Linked DNA regions of Ovis aries. The main gene of each other region encodes a partner of the protein of the gene in region 2 in a complex. Links are inferred from orthologs where the notes say so. Each region holds a gene or a part of one and is shown on either strand. Other genes may lie near its edges.

The links. The genes of interacting proteins can lie anywhere in the genome.
Region 1: TADA2A (region 2) and MBIP share a complex: the UniProt entries of both Homo sapiens proteins name them as parts of the ADA2A-containing complex. The link is inferred for Ovis aries from reciprocal best matches to the Homo sapiens genes TADA2A and MBIP.

Annotation. Positions count from the first base shown.
Region 1 is NC_056071.1:44,236,223-44,241,081, forward strand, and holds part of MBIP (MAP3K12-binding inhibitory protein 1), read right to left. Parts: intron 2,734-4,859; coding exon 2,614-2,733; intron 868-2,613; coding exon 643-867; intron 555-642; coding exon 458-554; intron 1-457. UniProt on the Homo sapiens protein: Inhibits the MAP3K12 activity to induce the activation of the JNK/SAPK pathway. Component of the ATAC complex, a complex with histone acetyltransferase activity on histones H3 and H4.
Region 2 is NC_056064.1:13,461,672-13,467,825, forward strand, and holds part of TADA2A (transcriptional adapter 2-alpha), read left to right. Parts: intron 1-868; coding exon 869-940; intron 941-2,868; coding exon 2,869-3,001; intron 3,002-3,557; coding exon 3,558-3,924; 3' UTR 3,925-5,777; coding exon of another isoform or gene 5,778-5,851; 3' UTR 5,852-6,154. UniProt on the Homo sapiens protein: Component of the ATAC complex, a complex with histone acetyltransferase activity on histones H3 and H4. Required for the function of some acidic activation domains, which activate transcription from a distant site. Binds double-stranded DNA.

The sequences.
Region 1 (4,859 bases), on a different chromosome or scaffold from region 2:
GACAAATTGGTTTTATCATGACATAAAACCTTTCAAACAGCTAAAGAGTAGTGAGAAAACTGCTCCCTCTTGAGGAGTATTAACTTTACTAAGTTTAACTTCATGTATTAATATAATTTCATAAGTACCTTTAGACTTAAAATTTATATAGCTCAGCTCCTTCTTACTAGTGTGACTGAGCAACCCGGTCATCCATACGTTATCTTCATTTCCTAAAGGAACTTTAAAACAATCTCTTCACCTGTGGTAAACATTTACCTTTTTAAGTTAGCATCTGATTTCTGTACAACCAAAATTAAAACCATTTTGCAATACACTCTATTATTAAACAGAAGAAAATTCTGCTGTCTTAGTTTCCAAATAAACCTGTGAAATAATTAAACTGCGTTCTTAATGTTATCCATTAAAAAAAAAATCATTAAAATCCTAAAAAAATTAACTTCTTCTAGGTAGTTACCTTGATTACAGTCAATAACATTGCAAAATTCCCTGACGTTGTTTTCATTGATTTCAGCTTGCTTTCTTTCAATAAATGCAGATATTCGTCTGTCAATCTGCAAACAATAAGTATATGCATCTTAATTCAAACATAGGAAAATTTTAAAAAATACTCCCTTGGCCCCCCAGAACCCAACTTCTTACTTCTGCTTTTCCAGCCTTTATCTGAACTACTTCTGGATCAAAATGGATCTGTGTCTTTTTCACATCTCCTAAATCACCGTCTTTGTGCTTTTCTTCCTCTTCCAGGTCTCCAGTGGGAAAGTTGGCATTTACTTCATTCTTGTTCCCTGTTTCTGTTTTTCCTATTTCTTCAACAACAGTTGTATTCTCCTCTTTAATCAGAGGCTGAAGTTTTGCTAAAAAAGGCTGAGAAGAACACAATTCCATCTGCTGAGGTTCAAACTGATCAAAATTAATCACATTTACCATATTTATATAAATTTCAGCTAAGTAAAAGCAATATTCAGTATCAATTAACTAAATATAAAAGGTTGGCATCATACATAGATCTGACCACATGTAAGTGTTTTTGCTGTTCTCTATTATTGTGACCAATATCATTTGCTATAAATCTATTTAAAGAAAAAAGGAAAGAGAAAGAAAACCTGAGGAAATTTAAAATTTTCTTTGAGGGAATCATTCTGTCACTCATCTTTTATTTTGTGCCAAATCAAAGCCTCAGCCTCTGGCACCAATGCCACTTAATTAACATGTCATTCAAATGCCTCCTCAGAACACTAAGGCTTAGTATTTTTCCTCCTTAACACAAGAGCCAGTGCTCTCACTCAGCAAAGCCCTGCATTAGCACTGTATCACTGGAGATTCTCCACTTGAAACTGCAGTTGGCCAAAGTGAATGAGAGAGCATAGACATGAAATATATAGGTGTTATGCTGAGTGAACACTCAGGCTTTTCCTGACATGACAAGATATCTTCTTGGGTCATGAATTTAAATTTTTAAAAAGAAAATGAACAAGGAAAAAAGAAAAACATTACCAAGAGCCATAGCTGAAAGAGGTAGATGCCTACAATACTAGTGGGGAATACAACTCTATCATGTAAATTATACTACAATCCCCTCCAACACACTCACACAAAATTAGGCCTCAACTGAGTCCTATAGCTCATTGCTTCCACCCTTCAAAACTATGGTTAACTATTACTTTTAACATGAAACAGTTAAAATTTCCCCAAAAGTCACTGAATAAAGGGCTGAAAATTGTCTACTCTACTAATCAAAACATACCAACACTTGTCAAAGTTCCAATTATTTTTTCATACCTACAATTTTGCTTCCTTTGTCTGCTATACCAAAAATTCTTCTGAATCCTTATAATATCTTAATGGCACTAAACTGACCAATCCAAACCTTTATGACACTTCATATTTTATACTTTGATTAGAGATAAACTGTAAACATCTATCAATAATAACTGCAAATATGTTCAGCTGGAAACTAGTAAGGTCATAATACTGTTTGGTTATTGAACTGAAATATTTTTTAAAATATAGCAATACTATTATAGATTAACAATTCAGTGTTGACTTTTAATATAAAGAATGAATTATTTTAAACTCTTAAGATCATAAAATAGTGACTGGCTACTTACTAATATGAGACATTAATGTCACAGAAATTACTTTCTTTTTAAAAACTATGCTGAAACTGTTTAATTGCAATAGACACTCCAGGATGTGTCATGCTGGGATAATGCCACTTCTTGAACCACTGAAAGCACTCCATGAGCCTCCAAACTCACCCAAGGCATGGAATCATTATCATAGCATGACACACACCTGCCGTGTCTTATTGCTTAATTATAACCCACCATAGATGCAACTGTATTGAATTTTCAGTGCAAGTCTGGAATCGAATAGAACTGCATTCATTCAGTTGTCACACCCACAGCAGCCCATTCGGCTATATTCCTGTAACTGTCCTGATCACTATGTAAATTAAAGATTTAGATCCAATCTGGCTGAAGTAACCTTTTATTAATAACAGTATTAATAAGGTGTTAAGACAGAACCTACAAATACTCCAGTGTACAATTTAGCTACAATTAATTTCTAGTCTCAGTATCGAGTTAACATTTTTAACAAGAAATTTACCTGTAAATATAAAACGTGTTGCTCAAGTGCACTAAAGAGAAAAGCGGGCTGGAATGCCGAGAGGCTCTGGAGCTTGTTCCAATCGATTGTAATTTTCACCACATCATCTCTGAGGTTAAGCTTTAAAGGGGCAAACCAGCAATATCACAAAAATTACATGATTAAGCTGTACATATGGGATTGTCACAAAAATAAGATTTCTATAGAATAACATGCCATTTAGATCAAAGTTCTCAAGTTTTTAATGATACATAAAAGTGCTCTACCTAGTTACCACTCCAAAAAGGCAAGAAAGGTCCAGTTCTCAGAAAAAAGCAGATGACATCTCTAATTCTTTTCTTGGGTCTGTGTAATGGGACCATCTCACAGGTAAAACTATCCAGGAAAGATGAAAAGATGAGGCTTTTTTTTTTTTTTTTAATAATTCAGTATCTGAAAACTTTTGGATAGGGGCCAACAAATGCTTGCCCTATTCAAAATCCTACTGCTTCTAGCTAAGAACATTAAATACAGGGGGAGGTACATTTATGAAAGTTCTGATTTCATAATTTCTGCATTTGTTTTTGTTAAATATGCACATAAATATGTAACAAATATATCATTCCTCTGATGTCTTCCGAATCACATTTTCATTGTTTTCAATTTTAACCAATTTTTTAAATTTAAAAATCAACTCATATATTCATATTCATATATATTATAAAGTCTGCAGCTACATGGCAGCATATGTTTACTTCAAATAAAAATTAAACTATTATTTAGCTGTGGAAATCTGAAATTTAAAAACAAATGTTTTTCCACAATAGTGAAATAAACAGCCAAAGACTGGATGGAAAGGTCAGACTCACTGCTAAACAGTATTTTCTAGTACAATGTAAGAGTTCATGAAAATTTCTCCTAAATTGGCTATGTATGGCCTATTACGATAAAGTTATACATAGAAAACTACCACAAACCTGAATATAAAATTAATACCAAGATGAGTCAACATTTCAGAGGGAAAGCCTCCATTTTTAGTATTTCAAGTGAATAAAAGTGAATCACTGTAAACATTTTTAGGGACACGTGTGTTATGGCATATATCCTGCATCACAGGATCAAGTTAACTCTTATTTTTTCAGAAATCATTTATTTAAAATTAGTCATGTTTTCTACAAAATAAGGACAAGTGTTCTATTAGTTAAGATCTTATGAACTGTGATTATAATAAAACAAAAAAAATGAATCACTGTACCAAAGAGATCCAAAGTTCCCCAAAAGGCACTATATGTATGAATGCTGTATGACAGAAATTTACCACCCTTTGACCAGAAATATTTAAAGTCCATATTAGACAAGTGTAAAGAAGTTTTGTGTAGGATGCACTGGCAAAAATTAGTTTGTTATTTTAACTAAATTAGTTTGTTATTTTATATTAAGAAAATCATATTAATCTTAATTTCTATTTTTTAGTGCTTATAAATGTTTCAACAGCTTATGCATGGAAGTAACCCATCACTATACTTTTACAGTTCTAAAGGAATCTATAATTGATTATAACAAACTTACAAATACAGTTTGGGGATAACGCAGGCAAATCCTCAACCAAAGCAAAGCATCAAATTTTCTAGAAAATAACTTATAGAAATTAAATTGAATGTCTGGATTATATTCTCATTTCAATTTAGCAGAATTATATAAACTTTCAAGTGCAAGATACTTGGTCTTTGAAGAAACCACATAACAATGCCACAAATTAACTTTAAAACTATCCCCAATACATCCAACTATTATTCAACAAATTCCCTATTAGTAATATATGAATTCTGTGCATTTTTACCTATAGAACTTGTAAACCATTCAGTCAAAAAGGTATTAGTCTGTCATTAATATGAACTATTTAAAATACACATTTCAGTAAAAACTTTATTACACTAATATAAAAATCCAAGTTAACAATAAATATTTCTTCAGCTTGGTAAAATGCAGCAACCAGAGGCAAAATCAGTATTCAATAAATTCAAAATCTGGGCTAGGAAAATTTTAACATCTGATTCTATGTTTCCTATTGAGGAGAGCTAATAACACAATGATACTATATAGAAGGAACTAGGCATTTTACAACATAGATTTTTTTAAATTTCTTAATCTTGTTTCAAAGGGAAATAGTTATTTCCACCAGGAACAATTTTATAAGTATAGTATTCTGGCTTTCAGTATCTTTAACAGTACATCTCAAAATATAAAGAGTATCACCAAATTGGCTA
Region 2 (6,154 bases):
TGATTTTGACTCCCAAATTTAGCTCAGGAAAGAACTTCATGAAGGCTTGTATCCTGTTCTCTTTGTGCAGATATTTCTTGCATGACATTGCAGGCATTTATCTGAACTGGCTTGGTTGTCCTCACAGACACCCTGTTTAGTTGGCATTCTTTGTGTGATTTATCCTGGGTGGCTGATCTTTACTTCCTGTCCCAGTTTGTACCATCCCTGGTTTATGTGTCACTCCAGGGAACTACACCCCATGGATTGTCCAGGTTCTTCCTTCATCCTCTTTTTCAAAGCACCCAGATTTGAACATTCCATCACATAATAATCTGAGCAGTGCAACCTGATCTGTGTGCTCAGAGGAGGCAGAAATCTTGGTTTATGGAAAACACACTGCTCTTTTGTCCCTGTAAGAGAAAAGCTGTAAAGAAACCATCGGGAACTTGAGCACAAAATTTTGTCCTTCCCTTGCAAAAAGGTCTGTGTCATGTAATACCAGAGACAGGTTTCATACTGAAATTTGGCTTTGTGGCTAGAGCTTTTAACAAGGAATAAATAGAGCAGGGAAACTTGGTGGTTTAAGAAATTATATTCATTACTACTGTAGCTAAATGAATTCAGCCAGGTCACTATGAAGTTTTCTAAGAAACAATTCCAGCTGCTTTCTGCAACTGGAGACAGAAGCCAAAAGACCACTGCAGTACATTTTTGTCAGCTCTTAAGTAAAATTTCTAATGAGATATTAGCAACAATTAGGATTCCCCAAATGGAATTGCCTGGTCTATTATAGAAGGCAGAATTACTGAAAATAGCAGTAAAAGTGCTCATTGGTGTTGATTTTGTTTTTCTGATTTTTCTCTGTCTTTTTTGGGGGGATAAACAGTGGAATTTGAACTCCGAAGGGAAATCAAAAGGCTCCAGGAATACAGGACGGCAGGCATTACCAATTTTTGTAGTAAGTATGTTTATGCTCCACACTAAATCAGAGGGCAGGTGCCTTCCAAACATATAAACAAGCTTTCACATTTCAGAATGAGTTTTTGATCTTTCCAAAAAGCTTCATCTATTTAATCCTTATAAATACCATTATATGGATTATCTGAGGTGAAATAAAAAGTATGACAGAGTTGCTACTTTCGATTTAGGATTCTGTTGTGGCCTCTTAAAAAGAAAGATTTTGTATTCCAACTTTTAGCCTCAGCCTTTTTAAATTTAGTGATGATCTGATCATTCCCATTAAGCACACTTCAGTTGGTTCTAGGCACTTGCATCCCAGTTACTCGAGTTAGAGATGATTATATTCATGGCACCTAACCATTCACCATGTATTGAACTGTACCCTTTCTACTTCACCAGCTTAAGAGAGGGACTTCTCTGGTGGCTCAGACGGTAAAGCATCTGCCTACAATGTTAGAGACCTGGGTTCAATCCTTGGGTTGGGAAGATCCCCTGGAGAAAGCAGTGGCAGCCCACTCCAGTATTCTTGCCTGGAAAATCCCATGGACAGAGGAGCCTGGTGGGCTACAGTCCATGGGGTAGCAAAGAGTCAGACATGACTGAGCGACTTCACTTTCACCTTAAGAGATGGGTATTGTTATTCTCATTTAATAGAGAAACTAAGGATGAAAGTGATTAACTAGTTGTAGTAGAGCCAGGTTGTAAGAGAAGACAGTTGTGTTAGCAGTTAAGAGCTGAAGTCTAGGCTTGGACAGCTCGGGTTTGGATTCTGGCTCTTTTACCAAATCTGTAATTCTATTTGTTTTCAATTTTCCAAGTCTCTTAGAGCTCATGTGGAGATTAAATTAGAGATAATGCATGAAAACATAGTATAGTACCTGACGCACCACGTCCTCAGTAAGTGGCAGTTTCTGTCGTTTTGTTTTTGTTTTGGGGATGGTCTTCAGCATTCCCTCCTTCCTGTTGATTGAAAGCTATCACCCGTTCACCCAGTGCTCAAGTTCAGCCCAGCAAAATGGCTCTTTATTTCTAACATTGGAAACTGTTTACAAAATGAAATTTTATGTGGAGCACTAACCCATAAATAAAAGTGGAACTCCTTAGGTTGAAGTCTGATGATTCAGATCATGTGTGGAGCCCAGGACCACCGGTACGTTCACAGTAATCCCTGAGATGTTTTCATGGTAACCTGGGCCTCTGTGGAACTTGGCTTGAAACCCACTGGTTTGATATTTTGCATTTTTATACATTAATAGTGTGGAAAACACTATGCAGCTGTTAGCAAGATGCGTGTAAAGACTCTGATGCCAGATTTGGGTTGCCTGATGCTGGCTGTCTCCAGGAAAGAGGTGACCAGAATAGTAATAGTCAATGAGGATTTATTTTTATTTGTAATCCTAACTGGTTTTTAAGGAACAGTGTATGTGTATAGCATTTGTGTGACTTGGAAAAATATATGGATAGAAAAAATAGAGCAGGAAGTAAATATAACAGTATTAAGTTACTTTTAGGGGATGGAAATAGGAGCAACTCCAACTTTCTTTGTACTTTTCTGTTTTGGGGATTCCCTCTCTCAAATTTCTTAAAGGTAGAAAAGGAATAAACACATTTTCATTTCTTATCAAGAAAGAGATTTCAAACTAGGGGAAATCACTTTGCTCTTAGAAAAATAATTCTGGAAGCAGTTTTTCAAAGCAAATTAAAAAACGACTGGGAATCCCCTGGGGTCCAATGGTTAGGGCTCTGTGCTTTCACTGCCATGGGCCTGGGTTTGATCCCTGGTTGAGGAACTAGGATGCCACGAGCCTCATAGCAAGGCCGCAAAAATTAAAAATTAAAAAAGATGAACTGTTTGTTGATGAGTTTGGCAGCCCTTTGGTTAGTCCTGCTACCTTGTCATTGTAGTCACTTTTTTAACACCTACAGGTGCCAGAACCTACGATCACCTCAAGAAGACTCGAGAAGAGGAACGCCTCAAACGCACCATGCTCTCTGAGGTCCTCCAGTACATCCAGGACAGCAGCGCCTGCCAGCAGTGGCTCCGCCGGCAGGCTGACATGTGAGGAATTAGTCCGGGGGACAGCTTCACGGAGCTTTCGGCCTTTACCTGTATTTTCAGACAGTCCCGTGGGTGCCCTACCCTAAATGGCAGAGCTGTAATAATTAGGTAGCTAGAAGAATTCAGAAAGCTTGAGCAGGCTGTCTCAAACAGTACAGTACTGACAGTTTTGAGAAATGTAACTGGCCTCCTAGAATCCCACTTTGCTACTTTGACCTTATTTTTTAAGATTAGTGTATTCCCTTGCCACACCTTCTTCTGTATCTACTGATGTGATTTTCACTGGAAGATCAAATTCCTGCTTTTTGCTCATGAATGGTCTCTGTGATGTGCCACACCAGGACCTCTTAACAAATCTAGGCAATTTCCTTCCCTGGAACAGATTTCCTTTCCTGAGTTGTGTGCAGTTGGGATAGCCTGTAAAAACATAGTCTAGTCTGTCTCATTACTTCTCTTCTAAGTAGCTGACCTGATAAATGTCACCCAGTCTCTCGTGGGCTTTGGGAATCTCTTTCTTTGATGTGACGTAAGTTTAAATTCCTCTTCTTTTTTGTAGTGATTCTGGCCTGAGTCCTTCTGTTCCCATGACTTCGAATTCAGGTAATTGTTTTTCAGGCTGGAGCAAGTCACAATTGTGGAGTTTTCATCCTGGGAATTATAGTGACCCAACAAACCCTCCCGCCTTTGTGGGAGCCAGGTGCTTAGGCAAAGGATTGGTGATTATTATACAGATTCATAAACATCAGCAAGTTGATAGAATCTTCATGGCCAAACAGGAACTTTCCTCGGGTTTACACTACAAAGGCAGAAGGAGAGGACCTCAGACAGGTGTTTTTTCTGTTTTACCAATGTTCACAGACAGTTTGTTTACTATGATTTTATCTACCACAGACTTAAAGATTGTCTCACAGGGGATAATTTAAAGGCTTTGTGTCCTGTATAAGCAAGGAGACACGTTACTTGCCAGAATAGTAAGACTTTCTTTATAAGTCGGAGACTTAAAAGTATTTCTCTTTCCTGTCTCTTCTGGCATGTCCTATTTTGAGGTCAGTTTACAGGGCACGATTAAGCCATATGATATCTGATAATCCTTGCTGCTTGGTAATTAATAAAGGGTAGTGTGGGGTGGTATTAGTTGTAGATGCTGATCTAAGATCATGGTGTTCGTTTGCCTGTTTTCTTGGTTATTATTCATCCCTGCTCCATATGGTAGGTTAGCCACTTCCTCTGATCAGAACGTAGAGACCACTCCCCTGTTTACAGACTGGATAAGTTTCTCACATCCAAATCCTCCCGCAGTCTAAATACAGAAATAAGAAAATTTAATGTTGGCTGATTAAAGTGAATGAATGTACTTGACCTAGCTTCTTTGGTATTTGTGTTTTCTGAACCATTTGCACTCACTCTTGGTTGCTTCCCTGGCGGGCATCAGCTTCCCTCAGCTCCTAAGTGTTTAGGCTGAGATGACTCTTTGCTCCTTTTCACACTCTGAGTTGCTCCTAAGGCAGTGCAGAGTTGGAAACCTGAATCACTGATCATAACATAGCCTCTCGGAACTGGTGAGGCATTTGAGTGATCATAATCTCCGTTTCAGGGCATTTAGGGTCAGGCTAGGCCTAGGACTGCGGAGCAGCTCCCGCTCCCTCTGTTGATACTAAAGGGAAGTCTGTTTCCTTGCAGAGCGAGCTGTAATAGCCCCTCCCCCTGCTCTCCACCAGCTAAGCAGCACCCTGCCCCCACGAAGTGTAACGTAGTATTCTACATTTTCTTTTGCTTAACACAGTCCATTCACTCAAGTTTACATTCAAAACAAATCCCCAGAGTTGCGCATATCAGGCTTCCCCTCCTGGGCAGTGACCTCGTGCTTGGGTCTCTTTCTCAAGGTATGTGAGTTCGCCTCAGCCTCTGCTTTGCCGTATACTGGCTCATTGTTCCTCTGTGTGGGTCTTTCAGGTAAACAGGGCTACTTTGGGAGGAACAGATATTCTCTCAAATAATACATAATGAAGGCCCTTTGCTGGCCTGACTCTGCCTTTGATCTCAAGGTGAATGGTGCCTGGGTAATTACCATGTTTGCCTGCTGGCAGAATGGCCGGTGTTCGGGACTGTCTCTCCTGCAGAGTTGTTATTTCCATTCATCAGCTGTCAAGACAGGTGGCATGTGACCTTTCTTAACCAGATGACATCTGGGCTGTAGATTTTAGAATCTTCTGCTGGATTAGGAAGAATAATCTTATTTGACTCTGAGGTATGTGTGATTATATGTGCATTTTATCAAGGCAAAGGACACTTGACTTACCTTTTTTTTTAAAAAAGTTCTTTCTTTCTTTATCTTATTTTTGGCCGTGCAGGGTCTTTGTTACTCTCGTGTGGGCTTGCTTTCTTAATTGCAGCGAGTAGGGCTACTCTTCATCGCAGTGCGTGGGCCTCTCCTCGTGGTGGCGTCTCGTTGCAGAGCACAGGCTCTGGGCACAAGGGCTTCAGTAGTTGCAGCACATAGACTCCGTGGTTGTCAAGGACTTACTCTGCAGCACGTGGACTCTTCCCCAGCCAGGGAGCGGACCTGTGTCCCCTGCGTCGGCAGGCACAGTATTATCCATGGCGCCGCTAGGGAAGTCCTTGACTTACTGGTTTTGTTTTCAAGTGAACTTTGGGGTACCCGATGTATAGTGGTTTTGTACCTGACAGGCCTGACCATGGTGAACTTTGTTACACTTTTTACTCCTGAGGTACTGTCTCCTGCAAAATACATACCTTTTTCTGTCTGTATCTATAGGTAGACGAAGTGCACCGCCCTTGAACCTCACTGGCCTCCCTGGCACAGAGAAGTTGAATGAGAAAGAAAAGGAGGTAACAAAAAGAAGGGGGAGCTGGTTAGAGGAAAGAGAGTAGGGGCCGGTTATCCACTGAGTTGTTGTGAAAAACACATTACAGGATCAAACCCATTTTGCTCTGCTCACATCACACACGTGCATGTTCAGCTCTAGTCATCCTCAAGGTCTCGGGGTTAAAGAAGCGACCTTAGCAGGTCTCAGGGACTCCTTTCCTCATCACCCTGCCACCGTTCATCTGCTGGGCGAAGAGCATATGATACATAAATCTAAATAATACCAGCTGTCACTTATTGAGCATTTACCATGCACCAGATACTGT